4 linked regions of the Arabidopsis thaliana genome follow. The protein of the gene in region 4 interacts with the protein of the main gene of each other region in a pairwise test. Each region holds a gene or a part of one and is shown on either strand. Other genes may lie near its edges.

The links.
Region 1: the proteins of AT3G01690 (region 4) and AT5G22310 interact in a two-hybrid assay, tested with the Arabidopsis thaliana proteins (one large-scale study listed by BioGRID).
Region 2: the proteins of AT3G01690 (region 4) and AT5G28900 interact in a two-hybrid assay, tested with the Arabidopsis thaliana proteins (one large-scale study listed by BioGRID).
Region 3: the proteins of AT3G01690 (region 4) and ASIL2 interact in a two-hybrid assay, tested with the Arabidopsis thaliana proteins (one large-scale study listed by BioGRID).

Annotation. Positions count from the first base shown.
Region 1 is NC_003076.8:7,381,622-7,388,451, forward strand, and holds AT5G22310 (trichohyalin-like protein), read right to left. Parts: upstream 4,213-6,830; 5' UTR 3,725-4,212; coding exon 3,296-3,724; intron 3,213-3,295; coding exon 3,120-3,212; intron 3,045-3,119; coding exon 2,121-3,044; 3' UTR 1,962-2,120; downstream 1-1,961. Other genes in the region: NIT4 (nitrilase 4), read left to right, coding at 1-143; AT5G22320 (Leucine-rich repeat (LRR) family protein), read right to left, coding at 6,554-6,830.
Region 2 is NC_003076.8:10,923,013-10,932,552, forward strand, and holds AT5G28900 (Calcium-binding EF-hand family protein), read left to right. Parts: upstream 1-2,622; 5' UTR 2,623-2,839; coding exon 2,840-2,992; intron 2,993-3,738; coding exon 3,739-3,966; intron 3,967-4,056; coding exon 4,057-4,162; intron 4,163-4,244; coding exon 4,245-4,344; intron 4,345-4,459; coding exon 4,460-4,565; intron 4,566-4,651; coding exon 4,652-4,742; intron 4,743-5,536; coding exon 5,537-5,678; intron 5,679-5,769; coding exon 5,770-5,917; intron 5,918-6,046; coding exon 6,047-6,156; intron 6,157-6,239; coding exon 6,240-6,396; intron 6,397-6,528; coding exon 6,529-6,654; intron 6,655-6,736; coding exon 6,737-6,880; 3' UTR 6,881-6,890; intron 6,891-7,025; 3' UTR 7,026-7,450; downstream 7,451-9,540. Other genes in the region: AT5G28910 (alpha-(1,6)-fucosyltransferase), read right to left, coding at 7,621-8,504, 8,675-8,924, 9,003-9,250, 9,338-9,540.
Region 3 is NC_003074.8:4,705,320-4,712,408, forward strand, and holds ASIL2 (sequence-specific DNA binding transcription factor), read right to left. Parts: upstream 3,858-7,089; 5' UTR 3,303-3,857; coding exon 1,971-3,302; 3' UTR 1,483-1,970; downstream 1-1,482. Other genes in the region: AT3G14190 (uncharacterized protein), read left to right, coding at 5,588-5,654, 5,739-6,014, 6,101-6,144, 6,277-6,471. UniProt on the Arabidopsis thaliana protein: Transcription regulator that may repress the maturation program during early embryogenesis.
Region 4 is NC_003074.8:252,850-260,189, reverse strand, and holds AT3G01690 (alpha/beta-Hydrolases superfamily protein), read right to left. Parts: upstream 3,896-7,340; 5' UTR 3,438-3,895; coding exon 3,136-3,437; intron 2,872-3,135; coding exon 2,835-2,871; intron 2,734-2,834; coding exon 2,497-2,733; intron 2,403-2,496; coding exon 2,355-2,402; intron 2,273-2,354; coding exon 1,811-2,272; 3' UTR 1,494-1,810; downstream 1-1,493. Other genes in the region: AT3G01710 (TPX2 (targeting protein for Xklp2) protein family), read left to right, coding at 1-199; AGP11 (arabinogalactan protein 11), read right to left, coding at 799-1,209; SEOR1 (sieve element occlusion amino-terminus protein), read right to left, coding at 4,944-5,315, 5,410-5,706, 5,846-6,107, 6,203-6,450, 6,542-6,684, 6,762-6,871, 6,944-7,340.

The sequences.
Region 1 (6,830 bases), on a different chromosome or scaffold from region 4:
GGGACATAGCACGAGCCAAGTTTGATTTTGATGTGGTCGGACATTACTCGAGGCCTGAAGTGTTTAGCTTGAACATAAGGGAGCATCCGAGAAAAGCGGTCAGCTTCAAGACGTCAAAGGTAATGGAAGATGAATCCGTCTAACAAATGATCATTTGTTAGACCCAAACTTTCTCTGTAATTTGATGAAGTTTATCTGTAGTAAACTTCAAGACTTGTGTTGTAATTGAAATCGATAAAAAATCTAAACCGTTAGATTGAGTGTTGTCTTCTATTCCTCGTTTATACTATGCTTGGTTCTGCTCGTTCCATGTTCTTCAAATTTGTACATGAAACTAGTGATTCAATAACTTGTTAGGGATTAAGATGAGTCATTTTTACGAAAAAGATGAAAGAAAAACAAACCCAAATGGCCAAAACAAATAAGCTACCAATTCTCTCTACTCTTCCGCAACACAACACTCTCTATGGGTTTGGGCCTTGTTTCCTTATTTATTTCCCTGTCTCTTGGAATGGGCTTAGGCTTTTCTGTTTGTATCCACCCTGTGAAAACCTAAAACATTCATATAAATTGTTTTTTTTTGGTTTGGCATAGAGGATAAGCAACACATTCGTACCGAAACAAACCGAAATATGGAATTTTAAAAACTCTGTTTTATAGGTTTAAAAATTATGTAATCAAGTTCTGGGATAAAAATACGAAGTATATTAATATATAGGAAAACTCATATTTTTAACATTCAAAGTGTTATTTGGTAACACCAAAATCGAAACGAAAAGTCTGCCCATGTTTGAGACGATCTGTCCACTGACAGTTGATTTGCTAGTTGCTATATTAGTAACATCAATGTCTTCAAAATAGTGATTTTGTAGGTAGGTTCATTGTATATATCAATGTTTATTATACAGACAAAGGAGGAGACAAAGAGATAAACCACACACGAACTTGATAAGATCATCACTCTGACAAAATATCTCCCTATAATGCGAATGTTTTTAGCATTTGACCTTTCTCATTCAATGAGAGAAAATTAGTTAGCCTAGTGGCACTATATTATGCTTCAACTTTAGTAGTTTTATTTTGTTATACGAGTTAATGATTTATCCCTAAACTATGTAAAAGTATGAAACAAAAAAAGAAAGACAAACTTTTGGAACCCAAAACCCCTTGATTTGGTTTAATGGTACATATATATATGGTTCTAAGCTAAAATATTATATTGAGTGGGGGACATAGAGTAAGGCTGATTGGTATATGCATATATCTTTCACACGAATTGACCTATTACCTAATCATGTGTATATATGATCGAAAAATGAAGATCCGTTATTGTTCGTTATTGTTCATGTCATCTTATTAATTTTTGTAACTTTTTTGGTTGAATTGTTACCAAATATTCCCAAATAGGGTAAAACGTAACGGATATATAGTTGAGACAAAATCACATGGGAAGATGGAACGATGCTGTCCAAATGTCTAGACAATAATAGAGAAAATGTCTTGTTTCGTTTTTGATTCAAAATCTTAAACTAATCCTTTCTTGAATCAATTATATATCTCATTATTGTTCGTTCTTATTCTCATTGTTGTACTAATCATTATGATTTAATTTACACCAAATCAACGTTTCCATGTGTATATCTTCAATGCCACCAATAAATAAGTTCTTTAATAGTTATATACAATGTACAATTCACCTCCAATTCATTCCAAGCATGATTTGTTTGGTTTCCCCTTATTCTCTACATCTACATTATGGTCTAATTAGAGTTAGTTACAAACATAAAAACTCGTACGTAATGAATTGTTGTTCTCTAAAATAAGCACTTAAGTTCCGTAATAGACTTCAAATTCTGACAAATCACTTGATTACAAACTTGAAACTTCGATCATAAAAACGGAATATTTTGATAGAAAATGCAAATAATGATTTGATTGGATATGTGTAGTAAATTGAGGTTAAACCATTGTAGACGAAAAAATGTGATATACCGGCAAAAAATATTCCGTAATTGATTTTGTATTTCAAATTAAATTGAATAAATTACAAATACTGAAATATTATATACTATAAAAAAAAATGATTTCTTTTTCTTCCTCGCCGGCGCTAGCGGTGGTGATTACACAAACTCAGAGCTTGGTAAATTCCGATGATTCCACTGCTCTGACGATGAAGGACCAATACATCTAACATTTGAAACAATGTAATCTCTCAAAGTCTTCAAAGACTCATCTCTCTCACCATTCTCAACAATCACTGATCTCTTCTCCACCGGATCATCATCATCATCATCGCCGCCGGAGCCATCAAATCTCCGACGATCTTTCAGGCTATCAACATAACCCCATTTACTACCACTCTCCATGTTCAACTCAATGGACTTAAGATCACTCTCCTCATCATCATCAGAACCAGAACCATCAATCACCTCCAAAATCCTACGAATCTCCGACGACCCTTTTCCTTCTTCACCATCCAAAACCCGCCGGAGCTCCTTCTTCAGCCGCTCCACGGCGGCGTATTTATCTTCGAACTCAAACTTCGCCTCCGTAAGCTTCATTTGAACTCTCTCTTCCCTCAAAACATCAGCTATATGCATCATCTCTCTCTCTTTCTCCATCTCCTTCTTATCATCTCCGATTCCTTTAGTTAGCTCATCACAAACCTCTTCAAGAACATCTTTAGCTCTCTTCTCTCTTTTCATCTCCTCCTTCATCTTCCTCTCTGTTTCTTTAGCCTCCGTGAGCTCTCTCCCTAATCTTCTATTCATCTTCTCTGTTCTTCGCCGGAGTTTTCTCTCAACCATCGCCTCTTCTTGTAGACTCTCTATCAACCTCCGCTTCTCCTCTTCCTCTTCATCTAATTCACTCATTAGATGCTTTAGTGAAGATCTTGCTCTGTCTAGTTCACATAACAAAGCAGAGATCAAACGATTGCTTGCTGTCTTGTGATCATCTCCGAGCTCACCGATCCTTTTTAATACCTTTACCAGTTCTTTAGACGTTGTTAATCCGTCACTGACATTCTTGAAACGAGTTTTCACCTGTAATATAATTAAGAATCAGACCTTTCTTCTTCCGCAAGAAAAGTGTTTTTAGGGTAAGATTGCAAATCATACCGAGTTTGCGCCAATGATTTTGTATTCAATTGGGTTTAATTTCTGAGGATTTGTTGATCTTCTACGAATCATATCGTCACAGAGATCGATTCTCTGTGCAATTTTGATTTTTCAGACTTAGAATTTCAGAAAGAAAAAAAACACAGAGGAAACTTGAAACTGAAGCAAACCCTAACCTCTGAGCTTAGACGAGAAATCGGATCGGATGATCGTGGCGGGAAATCAATGGAAGAGAACTCTGTTGATTTCTTCGCTCTGTATCTCGATGGTTTCTTGCTTCTCAAGCAATCTTTATCAGAATTTACCGGAGGGTCTGCGTCGTCGTTGATTTCCCACAGCGTCGCAGCTAGCTTTCTCGCCGACACGCAGCTTTTCTGCAATTGATGATGATCTATAGGAAGATTTTCCGGCGAAAACGATAACAGAACTGGAGTTTTAGCGGCGGTGATGGACTTAACAGGAGTTCCTGAGCCACCGTCGTCTTGAGCGGCTCTTTTCCCGGCGAAAATTGCACGTTTGAAGCGGTTTCGACGAGCAAGTGAAGAAGAAGAAGAGGAAGAACCACCTCTCTTCCTGATCTTACAACCTTTCTTCCGTTGTTCCATAGTTGATATTCAAAACAACAAATCAGAACACAAAATTTTACCAAATCTTGCCGGAAAACAAGAGAAAAAAATAGGATTGAAATTGGTGCTTTTTAGGAGAAGTGAGTCATCTTCTAAGATCAGAAGCAGTTTCTGGAAGATTTTGTTTTTGAATCTCTAAATAGACTTTAAAGTGAGTGAAAGAGAAAGATAATACAAAAAGTGAAAGTTAAGATGATGTTTTTACTTCTTCTTAAAAGCAAAAGAAGAGAAGAGTAATAAGATTCTTGATCCCTTTGAAGACGTTGTGATTTGTGAAAAAGAAGTTTTGAATCTGGGAAATTGTGTTTTATTTTCTTGGGAGAAGAGAGATGTTGAAGAAGAGGAAAGAAAGATGGAGACAGTGTGGTGTTTTTGTGTTTGTGCGTTGTCTATTTGGGCAATGTAAATTTTCTTTGGAGGGTTCATGAACCGATGTTGTCCAATTTCGTCATTAATTTTAACAAAAATAATTTCATAATCAATGAGTACAAATATTGTTGCCGCTAACTCATTAATGCAACAATGACTTGCAAAAAGATATCATGGAATCCATGTTTCCAAATTAGTGCTTTCTAAAGAGTTTAGAATCTTTAGACCACAAGTTAACCTGGTTTGATCGGATTAGACAGGATTCTATTAAGTTTTTGTAGGCTTTTCTGGAGAAGAAAAAAAGAAGAGCATCAAATAAAGACAACGTACTAGATTATCAAAACTAGCATTAACCTCTATGCTAACGTCAAAAGCTAACATGTGTTTTCTAGAACTTGCCAAAAGTCGAACAGAACACGGGTTTAGGTCACAATTTAACCTCGTTTGATCGGATTAAGACCCGACTCATTTCGTTTTTGATTAGTATTTTTTTTTTGGGAAATAATATGAACGTCAAAAGAGTTAAAGACAACGTACTACGTACTACTATAAAGTAGCATTGTTTTCAACAAACATGAATATGGGTGACATATTTTGAAATAAATGAATATGCATAGACAAGGCAAGATACATGAGCCAAGAAAGTATACTCCTTTTTTCTTATGTTTTAGGAAAAAAAATTGTATTGAATTAGATGATGTTTTTTTATTTTTAATGCAAAATTGATTAGTTTTTATTGATTTTGACGATTTATATCATGCAGATTGTTCAATTATGATTGAATAGTGTTTAGAAAGATAATATATAGTATTTTTGTTTAAATGCGAATATTTGTTATACACAATCCAAAAACACAAACAGAAATATAATTATTATAAATCATTTTCGTTTAGGATTGAATAGTTCTTCATTTTATGTTTTAGGATTGTGTTTATAAACTTATGGCTTTTGTCTAGAGAGGTAGGTATTAAGATCAATACACTAAAATTTTACAGACAGTTGTTATAAGTTATTGGAATTGTCGCACATCGAAACTTTGACAATTTTGACACTAATATATATAGTAGATGTTCAATCATTGCTAAAAATCTCTCATTAAACAATCATAGTTACACAATGAATACATGGTTTTAGATTTTTGGATTCATAAAAAAAAATATTGCTGCTCTAAAACATATAGGATTTTTTGAATGTAAATCAGACATAAAATTTCCTAGATGCCTTAACGATTACTACTATCCAATCATAATTCACAACTCAAAACCAATGATTGTCTCTATACTAATTTGAACACAAGTTTTGTGATTGGCATATGAATTATGAAAGACAGGCACATGCTGAGTACAAATAATAGTAAATACTTATGGAACATCCCAAAGAGATAGATGCCTTCTCTGCCAGTCAAATCAAATCCATCCTCCAGATTCTTTTAACTCCATTACAAATAATTTAACATATTACTAATTTAAAAATAAATTAATACGAGTAAAAAAGAATTTTAAAATGTGTGAAGACTAGAGAAGTGCCACGATGATAGAAGAAAAATACAACATAGATGAACGGTTCAGATTAAAAAGAGTTCTAGTCTGTTTCTCTTTTATTCCTTTGAGTCTTTGACTACTACTCACATATCACATGGAGAATTTGACAAAAATGTCATATCACTATACTTTTATTCAATATACTAACTACTCTTGCAGCAGCAATCTAAACTCTACTTTAAAAACGACGTTCTTTTTTGTCAAATAAGCTAAACTAAAAAAATATCGTTTACAATATACAATACATACTATGGGTAATTACATACATTCAATACGGGTAGATACGGACATTTTGAACTAGCAAATCGGTTTTAACATTAGCATTACAAAACAAACATAGGAAACAAAAGAAGATGACAAAAATTTCTAACTCTTCTCTACGTCTTCATAATATATCACAAATGTAGACCACATTTACACCTAATCGGAATAGTCTGCACTAAAATTAATTTAGTTTTCTTTTCTGAAATCAAAATTCAAACTTCTCATTGTCCAAACTAGTGTTTCCACATTTTTCCTAGCATTTAGCTTGTATCATTTTATTTCTCTTTTTTATTACACACTAGAAACTAACACAATAAAAATAACAAATATTAAAGCGTGAATAGAATGGTCCCATGGTCTAGTGGTCAGGACATTGGACTCTGAATCCAGTAACCCGAGTTCAAGTCTCGGTGGGACCTATTCTCCTTTTTTTGTTTTGGTTTCAATGACACAAACATTTTATAAAATTAGATATAGCTTCTCAACAGTGCAGAAAACAATTTATAAAGAAGATCGAAACCACTTTCTTCCTCTCCTATGTTCTTTAACCATATCAAAATACTCCCTAGCCGTTGGATGTTACAGACATAACTGTCCCTTCTTTTAAAGAGTAAAACACTCCCTCTGTTGCAGTTTACTCCCACTTAGACTCTCCTCCTAACCCGATCTCAACCTCCATGGGAAGATCAATCACTACACTCTTGCTTTGCTTCTTTTCACTCTTCTTCTTCTTCTTGTTAGCTTTAGTATCTATCACTTTTACTAAACCTGTCTCTTGGACGCTGCTTTTCTTCTTCTTCTCAATACCGTCTTCAGAACCCTTTGGCACATTTTCCCGGGAAAAGATTTCTGCGAAAGAGGTTTCAGCATCATCTATAGCATCGAGTTCCTCCTTTGGAGTAGCCCTTTTC
Region 2 (9,540 bases), on a different chromosome or scaffold from region 4:
AAACAATTTAATTTGTTTTAAAAATTTGATTTGAAAAATGCTAAATAATATGTTTATATGACAAACAAATGGATTTTAACTACAACTACTAAGAAGTATAAAACACTCGGCCATATATATACGAAAACCAAACCAATATCTTCACTCTCTTTTATCAAAAAGCTTTTAACCTCAGCTGTTCAATAATTCACCAATCATGGTGACCAGAAACATCGCCTTTTATGGATTCCAATAAGAGGTCTATTATCTGAACGCACTTAGGGTTGTGCTCTCAGAGTTTATCTCGACTTTGATCTTCGTCTTCGCTGGCTCATGCTCCGGAATTGCTTTCAACAAGCTCACTAACAATGGAGCCACCACTCCTACCGGCCTCGTCGCCGCTGCCTTAGCTCATGCTTTAGGTCTCCTTGTTATTTGTTTCTGTTGTCGCTAACATTTCTGGTGGCCACGTTAACCCTGTCGTTACATTCGGTGTCTTTCTCAGTGTGTCAGAGGTAACATCATTCTCCTCAGTGGTATTTTCTACTTGATTGCTCAGCTTTTTGGCTCAGTCGCCGCGTATTTCCTCCTTATCTTTCCCACTGGTGACGAGGTAACATCACTTATTACACTTATTGCCTTACTAAACCAGGTTAGTATTGTTTTCAATTTGATTTTAGTTGTAATTTCGATTATTGGTTTTTTTCTTCTTCTCTATTTTCTTCACAGTTGTTATTAACCAAGAATAGTAAATATTTAAGATTCGTATAATACAATAATGTTTCTATTATATTTATAATTTCAAGCTGAGACTAATGTTAATATTTAGATATTTTAAATAGAAAATCATATGTTTAGTAAATATTTACCAGGTAATGGAAGATTTGTGTTGGCAAAACCAACCAAGTGAGCGTAATTGTAAACTTTAAACCCAATCGCCTATGTCTATAATCATAATAATTTAATATCTTTAATAACACCATACCAACATATATGAACTTCATACGTTAAAAAATAACTTGAAAGAATCACAATCGTTATAATTTACCGTTTATTTTTCTTCCTATCATTTTATAAAAAACAACTATATTTTCTAATTGATCGACACACATTTCACCAGCTAAATTTGTTATGAAATCAACATGTTAGAGGATTTGTTACAAATTTAAGGTTAATAGTGCTCAAGAAAATATTTAAAAATATAGAAAGAGTGATGGTTGAAGTTCTTACTTATGATAGGTTCATATGTTGAATTAATTACTAATTATATTTTACTTATTTTAATAAGTCTAGGTGGCAAGCTCTCATGTGCTGATGTGTCAAGTTGTGGGAGAGAGTTGAGCTCCTTTCATATATATAATTTACGTTATATTTTGCCTCTTAAGTTTTGTAGTGACCATCATAATTTCTCTTTTGATGTCTTTGTGGGCAAATGAGGTAATCTAGAAAGAAATTACATGGATGAAGATGATATAGAACATACGAGATCTGATGAATGACAGATTACTATAGTTTTTCTTTTCCCTAGTTAATGTTGTTAATAAGGGGATAATTTTGCTAAATTTGGTAAAAGTACATGAATTATATATGATATGTGATTTAGTCAAGAAAAATTATGTGAACCTGATTAGATTTTACCATGTCTCAGGTTTTCAAGAATGCAATTTTTATTTCCATGGACTAGTTGAAATAGTTACCTATAAAATATCTTATGACATAAATCGATCTAGATATGATCTACATACAATTAGAACGCTTAAACGTGGAAACTTAATTGATGATATGCTTTATGGTGATCAAGAAGAAGATATCAACAAAGTGTTGAGATACTAACAAAAATAGTTTTTTTTTCTTGTTGTTATAAATATTGAGTCAGACTTTAAGTTACACGTATTTGCAAACTATAGTTTTGTGTTAGTTTTTTTGATATCAACACATTTCTATTTATTTGGCAACAAAATACTTTTCATAAGAGCATTTCTATGTCATATATTATAATTTATGTGATAAAGATAAAGATCACGATTTCCCGATTGACAAAGAAAATCTTATGAAATATGGAAAACATGATATGAAACACATCATATGTTTCTCATTCGTCAAGTATTTTTTATATGATATATAAAACTTTCTTTCTTTCTAGAATCCATGGCTCTTGTATAAGGTAGATTGTCTAACTCGTTACTCTAGATAGTATATTATATGAAATTTGTTTCGTAAATATTTTTCCTTAAGATTGGACTACCAATTATGAAGTAATATTTTAACTAATGTGTGGTTGACAAAATATAGAAAAAATCAAGAATCCAACCACATGTTGAGAAAAAAAATTTCTACTTCAAATACACTTACTTATTTTTATTATTTAGTCAACGAAATATTAATTTATTTATGGACATATTTTTAAAAATACCATAAAATTAATTTTTGTTATAAAACATTATTAGTAGTTTATATTTTTTTGAAAGTACCACTAAAATATATTATTTTCTGAAAATACCACAAAATTACTTTTAAAGTTTTCAAAACTAGATCCTAAACTCTAAAAAATAAACCCTAAACCCCAAAAAACTTAACTCAAACCCAAACATTTAATAAATTATAAACCCTTAAAATCAACTTTTTGTGTTTCAAGTATTTTTTGGGTATCTCTCTAATTTATTTATTTATTTCAGATTGCTCAAAAGAATAAATAAATAAAAGAATTTGGCTGTCTCATTTCCTTGTTCGGAATCGGAGAAGAAGGAAGACTAGATTCGATGTGTTGGTGAAGAAGATCTCGACTTTGTTCAAAATTCCAATTTCGCTCGCCTCAAAGATCATTCTCTCATCTTCTCGACTTTGATGCGATTGATTAAATATGGTGGATACGGTTATTCCCGGAGATATGGCTTGTTTGGATGCAGATTTGTTGCAGCTTCAGGAAATGTCTTCCTTTGTTCTCAATTCTAAACCTGGATTCACTCAGAAGCTCTTCGACCAGTGGCTTTCTCTTCCCGAAGCTCAGCGACAGGTTTCTGCTTTTTCACTATTCTTACACTCATGCTTCTTAGCTTACTCTCTGTTAGTTCGAATCTTTCTTTCGTAATGTTACAATGATACTTCGGTTGCTTACTTACTCTGTGGTGTTGAGGATTGGTGTAAAGTTTGAATCTTTCTTTGATACTGTTAGTGGGTATTACAGTGATGCCTTAGGTGGTTACTGATATTTGGTTGCTTAATTACTCTCTGGTTTCTGTTGAGGATTGGTGTAAAGTTGGGATCTTTGATAGTGTTAGTTATTACAATGATGCTTAGCTTACTGAGAATGGTGTAAAGTTCGAATATTTCTCTGATTGTGTTAGTGAGTATTATAATGATGCCTTAGGTGGTTACTTAGATTCGGTTGCTTAATTACTCTGTGGTGTAAAGTTCGTATCTTTCTTTGATAGTGTTGGTGAGTGTTACATTGATGCTTAGGTTACTGAGATTTACTCTGTGGTGTTGAAAGATTGGTGTAAAGTTTGAATCATTTTTTGATTCTGTGAGTTATGACGTATATTCTTATTTTCTTATGTGAGTATTACAATGAAGCTTACGTTAATGAGATTTGTTTGCTAAATTACTCTGTGGTGTTGAAGATTGGTGTAAAGTTTGAATCTTTCTTGGATTGTGTGAGTTATGACAATGATGCCTTAGGTGGTTAATGAGATTTGGTTGCTTAATTACTCTCTATTCACTGGAATCTCTAGTCTAATCTTTTTCTCGTTGGTTTTCTAGGTTGGATCATTGCTTAAGGATGCTGTAGCTGGAGCTCCTATCAATGTTACTGGAAGTGCATCGGGTTCTAATTCTGCCACTATACCATCTATGTTTCCTGCGGGAAGTGCTCCTCCGCTTTCACCAAGGAGTTGTGGTTCACCCCGTACAACCAAACAGAGAGCCCCTTCTAACTTAGGTTCTACTCTCAAAGTAGTCAACGAGCCTGTTAAAGAGCCTATACCTCAGGTTTCTTTTCCTCTTTTTCTTCCTTCTTTATATATATATAGTAATGGAATGGAGTTAACTCACTGATTTCTTAACTTGAAATGATTCTAGTTTTATTTCCAAAATGGTCGCCCTCCACCAAGCGAGATTAAAGAGCAATGTATGTTTAGAATCAATCACTTCTTTTATGGTCACATGGATGGCTTGCAGATACAAGGTTAGAAGTCAGTCATTTGTTTTCTACTAATTATATTTGAACTGTTTATTAACTTTTTTCTCCATTTTCAATCAATACTCAGAATTCAAGTTAGTCACCAGAGAAATCTGCAAGCTCCCATCTTTCTTCTCCACTTCCCTTTTCCGGAAGATCGATCTCAACAATACAGGTTTTGTTACTAGGTGTGTGCCGCTTCTTCTATGCTTTTTTTTTTTTTGTATGGTGCTTCCTCTTCATGTCTGCATAGTTTACTGAAACACCACCCAGTATAACAGTTTTTCGTGTTTGTTTCTACAGAGATGCATTTATTGATTTTTGGGTAAACGGGAACATGTTGATAATGGATACAACGACCCAAATCTTCAAGATACTAAAGCAGAAAGATCAGAGTTTCATTGTTAAGGTTATTTTCTTTTAAGATTTGCATATTCAGTCAGTCATGAGAGCGAGTTTATTATATTCCAGATTCTTTTCTTTTTTTCATGGCAGGATGATTTCAAACCACTACTCAAAGAACTGTTGGCGACGCATCCTGGGCTAGAGTTCCTGCAATCCACACCTGAATTCCAAGAAAGATATGGTTAGGTCTCAACTTTATTTACATTTTTAGTATCCTAAGTTATCTCATGTTTTCTTTTTCCGCTTGGTATTGCTTGAGTAATGGTGTTTAGTAATTGAGTTTGGTTGTGCATTTTATTCTTTGAAGTATATTGGTAGCTACAGCCCTAGTTGAGAAGAATGAGTGAATAAGTTTGCCACTTTGGTATGATGTACTTATCTAAATCTGTCAGATGGTTACCAGATCAATAGTATTTCTTCTTGATATTGCTTGAGTAATGGTGTTTAGTAATTGAGTTTGATTGTACATTTTATTCTTCGAAGTATATTGGTAGCTACAGCCCTAGTTGAGAAGAATGAGTGAATAAGTTTGCCATGTACTTATCTAAATCTGTCGAATGGTTACCACATCAATAATATTTCTAGTGAAATAAATAATTTTGATAATTGATGCATCGAGATACAGTAATAAATGTGGCATTACTCTGTATGGATTTTAAAATTTTTATAAGATACGGTTTCTTTGTTTTGTTGTGTTAGACATCATCTTATAACTTGCAAATCCATAAAGCTTTCAAGCACGGAATGAATCATCTTCAGTCTATGAATCCTGCAGATATAATCAATATCAGAAAAAATAAATTCTGGAGCTTGTTTATGAATCATGCGTCAGTTAGTAATGAATTCCCGAGAACACTTTGATTGCTTTCTAGATATCTGGAGTCCATATTCTTTGGTATTTGCTGCTACCGGTATCAAAGCTAAATTTTTAAGGATGCTTTTCTGTCTGATACAATTTGTATTTTGCTGAAACAGCTGAAACTGTCACCTACCGAATATTTTATTACATAAATAGATCTGGCAATGGTCGAATTACATTTAGGGAGCTTAAACGGGGAAACTTAATTGATGCTATGCTACATGCTGATGAAGAAGAAGATATTAACAAAGTGTTGAGGTACTGACAAAAATATTTGCGTGCTATTGTTGTATTTATAGTATTGTTTTTGCTCATTTAACATCACTTTTCTATTCACTTTGGCAATTAGATACTTCTCGTATGAGCATTTCTATGTCATATACTGCAAGTTCTGGGAGCTGGATACGGATCACGATTTCCTGATTGACAAAGAAAATCTTATGCGATATGGAAACCATGCTCTTACCTACCGGATTGTCGACAGAATATTCTCCCAGGTTCTGTCTAAAAAACCTTGCTCTTTAATGCCTACTACTTGAAGATTTTATTTATATTGCTTCTATTTTAAGAGTTCTTTCCTCGTTCAAAGTTATTATTGCTCTTAAGATGCATTGGTTTCTTCTCAGGTTGCTAGGAAGTTCACTAACAAAGTTGAAGGGAAGATGGGGTATGAGGACTTTGTCTATTTCATTCTTGCGGAAGAAGATAAATCGTCAGTGCCTAGCCTAGAATATTGGTAAGTTGTGATAGAAGGGTCCGAAAGTTGCAGACAGATACCATTTTAAGTCTTTTATCTGACACAAGTATACGTTGGACTAGGTTTAAGTGCATAGACTTGGATGCAAATGGGATTATTACGCGAAATGAGATGCAATTCTTTTATGAAGAGCAGTTGCATAGAATGGAGTGCATGGCGCAAGAGGCTGTTCTTTTCGAGGATATCTTATGTCAGATGATTGATATGATCGGACCTGAGGTTCAACAATATATCTCTTGTTTTCTTCTTTCTATATTTAGTATAGTCACAGAAGTAGTTTGTGTTCCCAGTTTTCTTTCTGAGTCTTGTGATTTTGTTTTGTGTTTGATTGTTTTTTATTTCCTTCCACAGAACGAAAGCCATATAACGCTGCATGACCTGAAAGGCTCAAAGCTCTCTGGAAACGTCTTCAACATCCTATTTAATCTCAACAAATTTATGGCATTTGAAACCCGGGATCCATTCCTCATTCGTCAGGTACTAATCATCTAATTTACCTTGCTACTTCTTCACACCACCACATGCGTCTTATAACATTTCTAATGTCAAACGGAAACAGGAGCGAGAGAACCCTACATTGACAGATTGGGACCGTTTTGCACATAGAGAGTATATTAGGCTATCAATGGAAGAAGATGTTGAAGATGCATCTAATGGAAGTGCTGAGGTTTGGGATGAGTCGTCGCTGGAGGCTCCCTTTTGAGTTCATAAAGGTAAGTCAACGGAAAACCGTAGTGTCTAGAAGATAAAACTAGTGGAAAAGGATTAGAAAAAAAAGAAACTGAAAAAACTTTGATGTTGATGCTTGTGCAAATGTTATTATTTCATAATATAACTTAATCATGCAGAAGAGAAATGTAAAGTCCCTGAGAAGAACATTTGGAGCTTTGTTGAGGAAGGAAAGTGAAAAACAAACGAAAAGCCGGTAGTATCCTCTGTTGAATACCATACTTAGCTTGGATTTGTTTTCTAACTTCTCTTTATTTGTTAGCTGATTCTACAGTTATATTTATTAACAATCGTCTAGATTTTACAGTCTTCTTCACCTGTATTGCATTCACTTTGCTCTGATGTTTCTATCTCTGGGTGTTACTTCATCATCTCCAGATGTTGAGACTTGTGAATTTCAATGCTATAGTTCCTTTAATTTTTGGTTGGTTCCTGAAGACACAGGATGTCACTGAGATGAGAAGAGGTTGGTTGTGTTATTACTATTGATCTTGAAGTGATGTCTTTTTATTTGTGAAATTCTTAAGGAAAAGCCACTTTGCTCTGTTCAGTTGATCTTCAAATCTTCACATCGGAATCGGTTTAGTTGGTTTGCGGTTGCTCTGAACTGTTTGTCAACCAAACCTCCCTTTATTATACTGAAAACTCTTTGTGCAACAGATGAAGAAAAAAGGAGAGGAGTCTTATTATGTACATAGTGTGGAACTCGCAAAGTTACCAGAACCGATCTTTATTGACACTGAGATAACCAGACATGACTTTCCCACCCGTATTCCTCATACCATCGATGAGGAAACACCAAGTGGAACCCAATGCTCCGACGAAGAAATCAGCTTCTGACGCCATTAAGAAGTTAACCAGAGGATAGTTTGTGCTCATCTCTCTCCCGAGGCTCGCTTCATACTCAGCCATCGACTTATTACCGACTTGTCTTGCCACTTCCGTGTAATAGAATCTCCAGTGAGCATAATCTTTACTTCTGTCCACCACTTCCTTCATCTCTGTAGAGAGCCAGATCCTGTTGAGCTCTGGAAACCGATCTCTGATCCGATCAGCTAAATGCATGTACTCTTCTAAAGCTGCGACTCTCATCTCGCATGCTTTGTCTCCCATCCGTACGTGAACACTCAGCATTGGCCTTGGAAGCCACGGCTTGTGATCCGACCACACCTGTTCCTCAATCTCTGTCCTCATCTTCTTATTCTTCTTTCTCCAATCTCCAGCTGAAAGAACAATCTTGGCAGCTTCTTTTCCAAACGCGGAATTTCGAGCAATGTTCATCAAACCGCAAGTGTATTCTGTTTGATATCTCATCAAGTATCTCACTGCTTGTGCTCTCCACCATCTCCGATCCATTTTCCGATGATTGGAGATTAAACTTCCGTTGATTTCTGTAGTTGGCTTCATATAACTCCAAGGCTTACCCCATTGCTTTGGTATAGCCCCAGCCCAAATCTCCTTTGTGCTATAATTTTGTTTCCCTGTAACAATCCCACTCTCCCACGCTTCTCTCTTCTTCACAATCGCAAAGGCTCGTTTTCGACACTCTTCTGACGTTTCCTGTAGAAAATAGCAAGACCAGTTTCCACGAAAAGAACCTGCATCAAAACAAAAGAGAAACACCAAATCAAATCCAAAGTTTGGTTCTTATATACACTTTTCAGCGTCTAAAACATCTTGATAAGAAGATTAACCAAGAAGATGTAATTTGTGATAGTTGCTGCTATATGTTAGAGTGAAGACTCAAAGGATTAAAGCCTTTATGTACCTTTGCAACCATCATGATCTGCTCGGTTGTAGTAATTTGCAACAAGCACTCGGTTTTCATTTATAGCTATCGCGAGTAGACCAGTCATTCCAGCTATCTGAGCTCCTATTCCAAAACCAGGAAGTGTTTCCCAATCAGCTACAAGGAACTTGAGACTCTTGTTTCCGCAATCCAAAGGATGCTGATGAATCCATATATCTCTTTGCACTCTCCTCGTTAACGGATAATTCTCTTCATCTCCTCCACTGATCTAAAACACAAGCTTTTGATTGTTCATTCACCATACTAATTGCTTGATGACAAAGAACAAGAAAAAGAAGAAGCATACCCAAGGAGGAAGTGTCCAGTTCGCCAAACGTGTATCCAAACGCTCCCTAACTCGAGCCTTCTCCTCACAATTCTCCAAATGTGGACCATTTGGTACATCGGATTTGTTAATACCTACCTTCTTCAAGAAGTCTTCTTCATTTAGTAATAAATTATCCCAAGCAGAGACCAAAAGTTTCACTTCATCTTCTTCTTCTATCTCAACTTTGTTCTTCCATTTCAGTTTCCGGTCTATACTTGCAACCATATCTACATATCAACAAATTTTCATTACCAAAAACCAAAAAAAAAAACATACATAAGAAGTTACCAAAAATCAAAATCTTTGAGACTCACTGATGATGTGAGAGGTGGAGGAATTGCAAGGAGGAAAAACAGAGGAAGAGGAGGTGAAGGAGAAGGCGGCGAATTCGAAGGTGCCAAGAGAAGTGAGAGCAGCTAAGAAGAGTGAAGTGAGACAGATTCCACATAGAAACCCAACTACACATATTTGACATGGAAATGAATTTCCAAGTTTTAATGCTCTCTCTGAAACCACT
Region 3 (7,089 bases), 4.5 Mb from region 4:
ATAGTTACTATCATTGTCGAGATTCTTTCTCTGCTTTCTATATTCAGCATCCTCTTCTTAAAGCTTATTAAAACCCTAACAATGAAGATTGTTTTCTTCTGTTTTTGGCTTCACTCAAAACTCTCAAGTCAACTTCGTAATTAATTTCACTTCCGCTGATGGATTCAATATCTCTCCCATCATTGTGTGTCTCCTTCCTTCCGCCGTAATCTATCTTTGTCAAAAATCTACTTTAGAGAGAGAAAGTGAAATCAAGAGAAAGAAATAAACGTTCTTCAGACAAAAATCACCATTTTTGTTGACGTGAAGTAGCGTATACGATGACAAAACAAAAAAAAAAAGAGAGTAATAGAGCGTAAAATTTGAAATATTAAATTAAACAAAAATCAAAGAAAGTCGGCAGTAATTACGAAATTCCGGAAACAGGTCTCGCCGAATCCTAAACGGCTTTCGTTAGTTACCCATAATACCCTTTTATTCTTCGAATTTATTGCTGTGAAGTATATAAATTGGAGGGGTAAATTAGTCTCTTACCCACAGATGGGCCAAGGAACAAATGGGTATATTGGTACTTTGCCTTTCAGATCCAAATATTTAACGTTAAGAGTAACAACGATTCGCTGTTTTAGAGTAAAATCTCTATGTGCAAAATGTATATTATGTTAAATAAACACTGTACTAAATAGATGCTGACAAAAAGAAGTATTTAAATTAGAGCTTATTCTACTCTACTGAAAATTAATAATATTAACACCAACCATTTTTATTCCAACTTTTGGAGACACTTTAAATCAAATGATGGACCCCCTGAAAAAATATCTAATTATAGGATATCACTCTTTATTCTTCTTTAATTTTAATGGACAATTGACCCTAACTATATATTTATAATGGAGACATGGCTTTAAATCCTACCCAATTCTTTCTTTCTTTTTGGTATCTTTTCTTGCCCACTTTAAAAAAAAAAAAAGAATATTCATTTGTTACATTAATAATTTACTATTTCTTTAGTAATCACTACTTTTATTGCTAGATTTAGTTCCAAAAAAAAACTTTATTTTGAAAAAAAAAACTTTATTTTGAACTTTACTAAGGAAAAATCTTGATTAGTAATCCTAGTGATACCAATATATCATTAGATAATATCTAATCTATATGTCTAAACACACGTGGACCTTTGGAATCAAACTCTTTTCTACCTAAAACAAAAACAAAATTCAGAAGATTTCAAGATGCTTTATTTCTTACGTTTTCATTATTGTATTCGTTTCAAAAAAAAATAAGAATAGTGCAAGTTAGAATGATGTTACGGTGGGACTCGGAAGATGGTATTTTTACTCAAATATCATGATTCACCTTTCGATACATGAATATTAGCTTAGTGCGGAAGGTAAAATTGTGAGAAACATCTATGTGTAATGAATTTGAATTGACTGTCATTTGTTTAGTACCTATAAAATGCCAAAAGGCAAACATCATAGAAAAATAAATAAACAGACCAACGAAAAGGTTTCTTGCCTAACATTCTTCTTTTATAGAAGATCATCATTGGTGGTTTGAATGATGCTTCAGACACAAGAAAATCTAGCTCAAACAATTACTCAAAAGAAAAAGAGTTAAAAAAATGCTTTTAGGTACACATGCAAATCTCCAATGTCATAATAACCAAACATAGCTTTAAGATTTTGCGGTTGGATTGTGTCAAAAATGTCCTATGCCATGTTCTAACCTAACTAGTGAAACACAATCTAACTCAGAGATTAAGAGAAGTTCAAAAACGTGCACAAGAGTCTGCAGCAGAATGATCTCAGGCAATCTAGTGAAGTTAAATCTGTTCCATATGACCAAAGTTAAGAAAGATATGCAAAATATTAATACACTCATGAAGCCTAGATAAGTTTCAGTTTCTCTTTCAACAATTAAAGACTCAAATCTAAAATATATCAATTACGACACTGCATCACTAAATTCTAGTTATTACCCAAATCGTTGTTGTTGTTGACAATCGCATTGATGTTGTTCTTGCGGCTGTGATGATGATCATTACTGGTGTTTCCCATTCTCCTCCCATGTTGCTGCTTAAGTTGTGATATCTCCAATTGAGTCTTCACAAAGAACTGCATTCTCTGCAACTCAAGCTCCTTCAAGAACTTCATCCTCTCTTTCTCCATCTCAACCACCTGTTGCAGTTTCGCATTCTCTGTTTGCTCATAAGCTTCACCGAATCTCATGATTGCCCGAGTCAGCTCCCTCCATTTGTTCCCCACTCCATCACCATCTTGCTTCTTCTTCTCCTCCGTCTTCATCCTCTTCGACAGAGGAGGAGGTGGTAAACTGTCACCGGAATCATCTGACATTGCTGCTTCAGATTCCGAGTCTGAATCAGAAGCGTTCCTCTTCCTGAAACGCCAGCGTTTCGACTCACTACACCTTTTCACCATCATCCCTTGCTGCTGTTGCTGTGGCAGTGTCCTACCTTGCTGTGGCAGAGTCCTCCCTTGCTGTCCAAACGGAGCTGAACGGCTACTCATCGGAATTCCCATAGGTACATTGACAGATCCTCCTCCGCCTCCTCCACCACTGCCACCGAAAGAAGCAGCTGAGACTCTAGCCGTAGCTCCAATTAACCGGTCAAGATTATTGAAAGGCGGTGTTGCAGCCTTAGCTTGCTGATGGTACAGATTCGAACGACTTCCCATTGGAATACCCATAGGAATCTTATGCAATCCTCCGACAGGACCGCTGACTCCAGAAGTTGCCGTCGGGATCTTCGCCGTTGATCCAATCAGACGGTCAAGCTTGTCGAAGAACACCCATCTGCTACGGCCACCGCCGTTAGCGATTCTCACCTTCTCTTGTTTATACTTCTTCTTCACCGTATCGATCCTATTCTTACACTGTATATCAGTTTTGGGAATTTTACCGTAATCCTCTCTGCTGCTCACAATCTCAGCCACCTCTTTCCAGTGCTTCTGCTTCAGATTCCCTCTGCTAAGCTCCAAGTATCTCTCACCCCACGCATCAATCAACACAGCCGTAGCTGCTTCGCTCCAACAATCCTCCCTCCCGCCGCCGCCGGTTGGTCTCCCACTGCTGTTATTCCCTCCACCGCTGGCCTGAATCGGAAGCAGCGCCAGAGCCAACGCATCCGGATCCTTCTGCGACGAATTACCCGGAGGAGTCAGAGAATAAGAAGGCGGACCTGCCGAAGCCACCGTAACCGTGATTCGTCCCGCCGGCGGGGAGGAAGACGGATCAGGTGAATCGGAACCCTGAGATCGGATGTCTTCATCGTCCTCCATGGAATTCGATATCGCCGGATCTGAGTCAGAAGCTCGTGAAAGAGGGAGATAGGGTTAGGGTTTGGGTTAATATTCTGTTCGGGAGGGGTAAACGGGAAGGAGACGGCGTCGGTGAGTAGAGGGGACACGTGGAAGGACGTGAGAAGATACGGGGAGATGACGTGGAATGACGTGATTGGTAGGTCAGAGGTAAGATTCCGTCACCGGTAAAGTTGCCGGCTCGGTTTAGGGGTAAAAGATGGGTTTGTATCGTAATTTCCCCATTTCTTCGTAATCCGATGAGGAAGTGTATTGACGGAAAAGCCCATCTAGTTTTACTATAATTACCGGAACTATCCCCGTGAACCATTTTTCCGGTGATGTACCGAAATTACCCTTAGCCTAACCGTCAGTTTCAATATCGGTCGTAGACTTTTTTTAGTCCGTCGATAGTTTCCAGTTGTCTTCCTTCGTTGTCTTGCTTCATTCGTTAAATCGATTCGAATTAGTCTCTCTTTTAACAATAAGAACGGTGACGTGGATGTTATTTACTTTGGGCATGGGTTTTTATTGGGCTTTCCATACGCTACGTTAGCATGTTATCACTTAGTATCATTTTTTCTTTTCACCATTGTCAAAGATACAACTTTAAACATTCCAGAAATACTATGTTTCAAAAAGACCTTATATAATCTTCGTGAATTGTGAAACAAACAGAAATTTAATATTTCTCAAATCTCAAAACACCAAAAGCGACCATTATGTTATGTACACAGCAAATATATATATACAAAGAAAAGTAGTTTGGGATACTTCTTCTTCTCGTAGAAATACCTTGTAATATTTTTCAACGGTCCAATGCGTTTAGCACAATCCTGCAGTATTACCGGACGTTAATTAGATATGGTGGTACTAATGAAAGCGATAATGCGTTGGATAAAATGAAGTATAGTTTGAGAGGAAAGAAAAGAGAGGGAGATCAAACCAATCGCAAGCATTGAGACTTGTAGCATGTGTTTCACTTGGTGTTCCAGCTGCATACAAATGATTTTGGTAATCATTAATTTACAAATCCATAATACTCTCAAGCTAATAATGATTATGGATGTCAAAATAAAAAAAAAAAATAATAAAAAAAAGCTTATAATGACTATGAACATATGTATCACCTTGCAAAGTCTTTAATTTACATGAATATATAGGGTTTTAACTGCTCATAACACAAGCATAGAAGATAAAAAAAAAGTGGATCAGAAAGGATTTTTAAAAAAGGTAACATAAGAGTCAAAGGGGAAACGGGGTTGCTTGAACGGTCAGGAGAATTCGGGACACGTTTCAGATCCACCATCAACTTCCGGTTGGCACTTTCACCGGATATGTGGTTTCTCAACTTCCCGAGACCATTTTCCGGCGTTGGACCGGCCAAAGTTTCATCCCACAACTTGTGCGAAAAACCCATATCTCTGATCAAATTATTAGAAGGGTTTTTCTTGTTAATTGTCTCTAATGTGTTTTGAAAAGAGTTTTTTTTTTGTTAAGTCTTCTTTATGTGAGGATAATGGTTTTATATAAGGAACAGGAACGAGAAGCGTTGAATATCCTTGGTTAGACTAATTATATACACTTTACCTATAATTTAACCTTCCAAAATTAAGGAGATTTAATCAAGGATGATGATAAATCTAGCCGATAAGAAGATAACTTAGAGAAGTGTGACATGTTTTGCTTCTATCTTACATGATAGTTTGATGCCGTCAATTTGATTTATGTGATGGGCCTGTACCTGGGCCAATTCTTGATTAGGCCTGCATTAAAATATTCTGCCAACGGCTAGAAACTTTTTCTCTTCTTCTATAAATTTACTTTTTTTGGCCTAATCCCGGAGGTTCTTCATTATTTCGTCAGAACAACATTGAAAAGTTACCGTTAAACACTCTAAGCGCTCTTCTTCATCTTCTTATACACTTCTCTTCCAACAAGAATCTCACCAAGAAACTTCTTCACTTTTACAAAGGTAATCTCTTTCTTCCTTCTGATTTAGGTTCACATTATAGACTGTTCTTCTTGCGATTGTTTGTTCTTCTTTTCGTATGTCGCTACTTGATTCGTTCTGGGTTTCTGGGGTCTGTGGTGTTAAATTTGCTTGAGGATCGAATTGGGTTTTGTGAAAAAAACGATCTTTGTTTCGATTTCGAGTTGGGTTTCTGTTACCTTTTTTAGGGTTTCTAATTGCTTAAAATCGTCAGTTCTGGAATCAAATCTTCGTTTCTGCAATTGGTTCTTTGATGATTCACAGTTAAAACCATATGGCGAACATGAACGCTCTTCAACAAATGATCTTCCCAGACGAGAACGCTCCAATTCATCGCAAAAGTAGTTAATCTTTCTCTACTCTCTTTAAATCATATTGCTTTGAAACAAAGATTTAACATTTTCTTTCTTGGCTATTATTTACAGAGTCTGTCACTGCTGCTTCTGTGAAATCCAAAGGGACTGTACTTGGTCAGAAGAAACCTGGAGGAGCTCGTAAGGCTCTGAATGATATTACAAACAAGTCTGGGATTCATGCGAAAGCTGCTGCTTCTTCAAAGAACAAGCAAATTGCTTCTGCTGCTGTGAAAGAGATTGATATAGCTGGGGAAAGGTTTTTACATGATCACAGCAAATGCATCAAAGAACAGCAAAATCTTTGGGATGATCACTACTCTGCTGATCTCATGCTACTTCATCATGGTATTGTATTTAGATCTTCTAAGCTATGATGTTTAACCAATCTTTGCGAGTAAGCTTGTGCTAAACTTGATCTTTTGTACTTGCAGGTTCCAGCATCAAGGAGAAGCATCTCAATTGGGACATTGAAAAGGTACTGTACTTAAAAAACAATGTCTATCTCTCTGTCTTTGATGGAGATTTTGGTGAGACTGCATCTTTAATCTAGTTTTGGAACTTAAAGTGACACTTTTTATGACTCTATCCTATGTGTTTTTGGTTTCAGATGGATGCTAAGGACGATCTGACTTACGAAGAACCAGAAGAGATGGCATCGCCCAAGTTTTCTGATTGGCTGAAGAACTCGACTCCATGGCGCTCTCCAATCCGTCATGGCTCTATGATGCCTTCCACTCCTCTGGCTTGGCGGTTCGATTCATGCGAATTCACACTTAAAGAAGACTCTGACGACCTCTTCTGAGTTTCTGTTTCTTAATGTCTTCAAAATTCATCCTTCAGATGAAGTAGTAATAGTAGTAGTGGCGTTTATCTTTTGTTCAGCTCTTCATGAATCACTCTGTGTCTATCACTTTGTAACTGGTTTCAGGAAATAAAGTTGGTATCTTTTCAAGTATTTTGACTATTCATCAAATTTGTGCCATATTCAGAATCTGAAGTTTCGATTTACACTGTCATGTTTCAAGCCACAATCCTAAACATCATCAGAATTCACTTTTACAAACATTCATCTCTTCAACTGTGAACTTACATTGCCGTTATCCTTGACACTATTGGTGACTTCTGACTCTTCTCTCACTGTCTCTATCCTCGCGACTGTTCCGTAACACCTCTAATTGAGCTTTAAAGGACTGCATTTTCTGCAACTCAAGCTCCTTCTTCTCCTTCTCCAGCTCCACCACTTGTTTAAGCTTTATACCACCTTTTCATAACTTGCTGCAAATCCAACTATTGCCATTGCCACCTCTCCAAGCTCCATCTCATCCACTTTTACCCGCGGTGGCAGCAATAATGGTAGTTTACTGTCGTCAACTGAGTAAGCAGAAAGTTCAAGTTCAGATTCTAATTCAGTCTCAGAAGC
Region 4 (7,340 bases):
GGAGGAGAGGAGTGTGGAGAAGGAAGAGAGTAAACTAAGGCAAAGGCTATGCTTCAAAGCGAAGCCACTTCCAAATTTCTACAAACAGAGACCAAAATCAACAGACCAAACTAAGAAAGTAAGCTTACTTTCACTAATCGCCAAATGTATGTGTGAAGTACTAAAAGAAAAAGATAGTAGCCATCGTTTCTGTGTCTGAGAGTTCTCTGTGTGGTCTTTGTAGGCTCTGTTACAGTAGCAGAGAGGTCTTACAGAAACTCCCTATCATCATCTTTCAGAGAGATATTGCGCTGACTTAGCGCCTGTGGCTGTGGGGAGAACTATCAAAACCGGATTGCCTCAAAAAAGGATTAGTTTGGAATTGTTGACATACTGTATTTGGTTTTATTCCAAGAAGGAATATTGAATTTTACTAGATTGCATTGTATGAATATTTGTAAACTTTGTTTATATATGATTTGAAAACACAAAATAAGAAAGAAAGGGGGCATTCCGAGAATTGAACTCGGGACCTCTCGCACCCTAAGCGAGAATCATACCACTAGACCAAATGCCCTCTTTGAAAAATTTGTTTTTCATTTAATTTCTAAATAAACATTAATAAGTTCACAATCATCAAAAATTACGTAATCAAAAAAAACATAGTACAACAACGGTACGTAATAATAATAACTCCATTCAATCTCTTGATTAATATAAATCACTGTATATAGTATAGTTAGTTAGTTAAAGAGATACGGCCTCATCTCATAATGTGAATCTTATGATTCCGTCTCAAGTTTAATTAAAAAACAAAACTTAGAGAGAGAAGATGAAGAATCCGGCGGCGGCGACAGTGCCGGCGATGGAGAGCTTCACATTAGTCGTGGCGCCACTTTTGGGTGACTCGGCGGCGGCGGGTCCATCAGATGAGGGTCCGTCGGAGGAGGGACCATCGGCTTCGGGGGTAGGAGCGGGTGGGGAGGAGACGGTGGGTGCCTCGGCGGAGTCACTGGGGCTGGCTGCAGAGTAGTCGTCTTCAGGGGTGGGTTCCTCAGCAACAGGGGATGATGCTTTCGGTGCGGCGGCGGAGGATTTGGGTGCAGCGGCAGGAGCCTTGGTTGGGGATTTGGTTGGTGAGGCGGTGGGTGCAGCTGAAGGTGCATCGGCGGCGAATACGGTGCCCACGGCCAAAGCCAAAAGGGCAACTACGACAAATAGACGTGCCATTATTTTCTACTTTTTAAATATAGTTATAGAGATTAGTAAGAGGAGGTGTCCAAAGCTAAAGCAGTATATTTTATTTGTTTGAATACTGCAGAAGCTTCAGATGAAGGAAAACAAGAGGACAATGAGATGGATTTATATGTTTTGAAATTTGAGAAATTTTAGGAAAATCGATGGATTTGAGAAGAAAATGGGCATCCATTAGCCTTATTTTAGAAGTGAGCTACTTTTTGTATATATTAATTTTTGTACGTAGCAAAAGATAGCGAGATCCTAAAAATTGGATTTCTATTAAGAACAAACGATTGGGCCATGAATTTAGTTCAGGCCCACATGAGATGTGTGATCTTTGTTTTGGAACTTTCCTACTTACCACAAACACTAAAAACTCATCTAAAAACAGAGGATGGATATTCAAGCCCACCACAAAAGGTTGTTGATTCAAAAGGAGATGGCGAGAGAGATCCCAAATTGCATAAAAGATTACAAATCAATAATATGAGGAGCGACATCCACATGTTATTTTGTTCGGTAAATAGAAACAGTTATGTACTCTTTTCATCTACATACGTATTATACGTGTGTGAGTGTGAGTGTGTGGTTTTTACTCGGAGCGAACTCTATCCAACCTATCCACACTCTTCCTCCCCCTCTCAATCTGGTCAACGCTCTTCCGAGTCTTTTCATGGCAGTCAACGCTCCTCCGCGAGCGATCAAGTTGATCAAACGAGATCTTGAGCTTGCTGCTGCTGCTACTCATCTTCGACTGACTCTTTGGTGGCTTCTCTTTCTCTCTACGCTCTGTGCTCTGCCTCGGCTTCACTCTCCTGTCCATACTTCTCCTCGGGGGCGCATCTCTCACTCTCTCTGATTGGTCGCTGCTCATCCTCGGACATGGTAATCTCTCTACTGTTGCTATGAACTTCTTGAGGTGTCTAATGTATTCAGGGTAGTGTTCAAGATCACAGTGGTTCCCTCCTTTCACCCAGAGCGGCTCGTACTTGTCTTTGCAGAGTTCCCATAGTTGTTTCCCATGAGAACAATCCACTACCTCATCCGAAGTTCCCTGCACATATTTGAAACTGTTTGGATCCAAAAAGCTTATCAAAAATTCAAACGAAAATGTATCTATCTGAAACCTGACTTACATGAATGATGAGAACCGGGCAATCGACATATGGGATTTTGTCGATATTCTGCGGAAAAACACACACTCACACACAACAAGCTTCTTACATTACAATTTGGAGAATGTGTAGGATTAATAGAAAGAATTGGTACGTGGTCTACCTTGTAGATGTCGAACCAGTAGGTTTTCTTGACGGAATACATAACTCTTAAACCGGAGAGAATGGGGCTGTGAAGGACGACGGCTCTAAGTTGAGGCAACCGGGAAGCAAGATCTAACGTAGGTCCGCTGCCTACAGATTGGCCGTAGAGGATGACACCTTCCTGCTTAGAGCCAAAGGTTTCTTCAAGACACTTATAAACAGCTTCGATATCAGCATACGTGTTATGCTCACTCGGCTACAATCAATCATTTAAGAGAAAGAAAGATTTTTGAGAGTTGGTCCTAAAACTCATAATGGATCATCAGACCAATCAGATTGATGGGGTAAAGGACAAACCTTTCCAGTAGATTGTCCATACCCGGAGTAATCGTATCTGCAACATCACAACCAATAATATCAAAGACTGATTGATTCCAAGCAGATCCTAGCCCAAGTTTCCTTTTTTATTGGGGTGGTGAATAAACACTCCAAACATAAACAGAGCAAATACTAGAAACAGAGCTAGAAACGTGAGAATCAAAACAGGGCAAATCCTATACCAAATCAATCAAAAGAAGCATACAAAGATAACATTTTTAAATCAGCATCATAATAATAAAATCAATCGAATTACAAAGGGAGAGAAAGAAAAACAGACCCCATAAGATTAACCTTGAGATGGATGCTAAGCTCAATGAAGAGCTCATACATCTGTCCCAGATCGGCGGCGTTGCCATGGGAGTAGAGGAGCGTGGAGGTAGCCATCGGATGCCTCACGTACATGCCCACGATCTCTGTGCCTCTCCTGGTCCGAAGCTTTACGATTTCTACGTTTTCGCGGTGGGGGAAAGGGCTGAGAAGCAACAGTCCGGTGAGCTCGTCGGTCACCACCTTGTAAGACGGTGGACTCGGCGGGAAGAAGGCAAACTTCGCCGCCACCGATGACGTCACCCCTCCCATCTCCTTCCTTCCTCACTCCGTTTCTCTCTACACAGCTTGCATTTGGGTTTGGTTTATTGAGAGAGCTGCTATGTTTTGAGATTGAAGCTTTTCATCTCCTTGGGAACAGAGAGAGAGAGAGAGTATTAAGCAATACTAACAAAGTGGCTTTTTTAACGATTACTAGATTACTACATTAATCTTAATTGTTGCTTTTCATAAAAATTGATTTACGCTAAAAAATACTTAGAAGTACTTTTGACTTAAATAGGGGTTCGGTATTGGCTATAACGTATCTATGAGAATTAACGTAACAAATTATTTATTATGCGTAGTAATAAATTATAGGTAATTTTATCTCAATTCATCCCTAATATCATAATCTACATTTTGTACTTTTACATATTTTTAACTTATATTTGACATAATACGACGGCTAATCGAATAAAAATACAACTTGCTCATTTGAAAACTCTTTTGTACCTAATTCTCATAGATATGACATGAGCCACCCCTAATTTATGTATCAAAGTCAAGCAGAAGTGGACAGACCATTAAAATTAGCCTTTGTCCCCCACAATAAGAAGGGTTTACATAGATTTCATAATTCAAAGAGTACAATAGAGTTACAAACAAAGTGTTTTCCTAAGATAGACAAGGTGGACAATGGCATGTGGGATGATATGGTTGCTATTTAGATAGAACCATGCAATTCATTGGTTATGATTAGACATATGCCATATCTCTTTTGACATTTACTTAACTTTTTGCCTTTATTATTTAGACTAATCCATCAAATTACTTTGTGTTAAATACTAAAAAAAGAATGAAAGTTACAAATTTTGTGTCTAATTATAAAAACTAGCCCAAACGATAAGAGTAGTAACAATCCATTCTTTATTTGAAGATGGACCACACATGAAGATATGGATCATAACAAGGAAAATAAAACATTATATTGACGACATGAGGGACACATTGAAATGCTATAATTCACTGGACAAGAAAATGAGATATCAACAACTAACACAAAAAACATTTATAAGAAGATAAGCCAATAAATGACAAATTGATCAATTAGAAAATGATAAGAGTATATAAGTAAACCATTAGAAACTGGAAAGAATAAAAAAGAGTATGCTGTGGTGTGCTTCGTGGGGGTCCATTTACTAAAGTGGGATATATAAACATTATGAGAAGAAAGAAAGCAAATAGTTATATTTTGAATTGGTCTAATTTGACATATTCAAAATTGTTGTATTCATCAGGGTTAATTTTATTAACAAAATAAATTCAACATTTATCTATGCTATTAAGAGAAGAAATTGTTAATTATTGAAAATTATTAGGAATACTTCAATCGAACATGTCCCACAAAGGCCAAACCACACACATGGAATGACCAATTCTCTCTCATACAAAGATATTGAAATTCAGAAATTATTTATGAAAAACTATATAGAGAATTCAAATTACGTAAAACAAAAAGAAAAAGCAGCGGGAAGAGACGTGAGCTTATTGCATCATTTAGAAGTTGTAGTTCTCGTCTTCGTGGAGCTTTTCATCGTGACAACAAGAGAAGCTCATGTACTTCTCCATCGGACGCTGACACTCGAAGCAATTCATCTTCTCCGGAATCCGACCGCTCCGAGCAGTGATGTGGAAATCAAAGTGGCCGCAAGGTTTTCCGGTTTCACGGAGGACCTCATCGTGGTGGTGGTCGGACATTGCTTTGGTGTAGCCTTTGGTCGGGACGTGGGTTTTCCAGGTCCGGTCGTAAACACTCATAGTCCTCTCTATGGCACCGTGAGCGATCATCACTATCTCAGGTCCTTTGCTCAGTAGTGCCCATCCTCCAAGCTTGTCGTAGCTTAGTATCTTTTTGATTCCTTGCATCACCTAATCAACGTTTTCAAACACACAAAATCATTCATTAACCAATTGAACCGAACCGAACCGAAATAATTGAAAACCCTAGCTAGTCAACTCTTACATCGTCGTGATCATCGGCTTTACCGAGTTGAATCTTGGAGTACAACATGCTCTCGAGCCTAGTCCAGAAGAACCACATCAAGGCAGGTTCGGCCCAGCTATGGCTCAGGTTTTCAGACCTGATTACTTCACTGATACGCCTGATCTGTTCCCTGTGGCTATGGTTTCGTTTTCCGACGTAAGCCATCTCAAGGTTCACGTTGGAATCTTTGGCCGTTGCTTTGGCCGCCATTGTGAATCTCCTTATCCAGTCCAAGTCATCTCCTCCGTACAGGAAAATGTAATTATCCGGTTTTATCTGCAAATCAGACCCATCATTGTTCATTAATCACGCCTCGTTCTTGAATGAATGTAATTTAGGTCAAACCCTGCCTGCTCTGTTTCTAGAGTTTCCAGGCCAATCATAAAAAGAAAAAAGGATGAGACTTTTGAAATACCCAGTTGAAAATGACAGAGTCGATGCCGTCGACGATGAGGTTAAGGGAAAAGGTCTCTCTCCTCCAGAGCTCTTCCTCACGAGATCTAGTGAAAGGGAAAGCTTCAGTGCCCCAAATCCAGATCATATGAAGCGCATTGAGGCTAGCCTCGTTGCCTTGTGGATCAATCACCACAAGTATCGGCTTGTTCATAAAATGCCATCTCCCTCTCATAAACTCCACCACATGTCTCTCTATCAGCTTCGGGCTATCCACTGAATACCTGACCCCCACAAAAAAAAATAACTTCCAATTATATTTCTCCATCTTTCTTTACAACTACTAGAATGTGTGTTTTGAAATAAATGTGTTAGATACCATGGCATAGGGTCACGGAGATCCTCAAATTTCTTCTGTAAAATCGGAGATCTTTCAAAATCTTCAATAGGATCCACTACTGGAACCCACACAACCTCGTAAGGCATATGACTCTTACCATCGACCCCAACCAAGTTCCTCCTTGACTCTGTGTAGATTTGCTCGAAAATCGATAGCTCATCTTGTAGTATGTTGAGATCAGAGATGAGCAGCAACACTGTCTTCCTCCTCAACACATCCAAGTGAACCTGCAACATTCATATAACAGAACAGAGATTTCTTAGTTAAAATCTTTTGTATTGATGAACCTTTCTATAAAAAAAAACCTAACACGAAAACCTTTCTCTTGGTCAAACCATCTTGCAATGGAGTGATGTGGGGTTTGGGATGAACCAAGGCCGTGAGAATCTTCATGTTATCAATGTGAGTGGTGTCGAATAGAGAATGCAACACCTTTAAGGACTCTGAGCTCCTCTGCTTCTCTGCAAATTCCAGTCTTTGTCAGTAAAGAAACAGGGTGATGAATAGCTGTTGAATGGGACGGAACAAACAAACAAACCTATATGCCGGTAACAAAGCCTCAAGGTCTCAGCGAGATGGTCATGTATGTTCTTAAGCTTGTTAGCTAACATCGATGTTTCCCATAAATCCATTTGCGTGTTCATCATCCTGATAAATAAAGTGTACGCGTTAGCGTGTGATCAATAGAAAGATCGATTAAAACAAAGTTAATTATCATACTCATGTCCCATAGCAGTGATCATGTTGATCTGAGAAATGCAAGCGATGACGCTTCTTATGGTCCAATAGACAGCAATTGGGATTGTAGAGAGGATTCTCGACAGCTGAGGAACGTCTGGTGTAATGTACCGATCAGGTAACTCGCTGAGTTCCACTACACATGCCGTGACGCTCTTCATCTCTCGGATGAGATCGTTGAGCCCTTGGGACACAGACTCTAGGGTCACTCTGTTCTGCACAGGGACGAGCTTGAGCATAGCTAGGGACTTAGCAAGCTGGTTCTTTGAGTAGAATTGGACCAGAAGCCAAAACTCTCCATAGTTCAACGCGAACGCTGCTAGAGTCAGCACGAGCTTGCCGTCCCACTGGAAGCTCGAGAGGTGTTCGAACACGGACA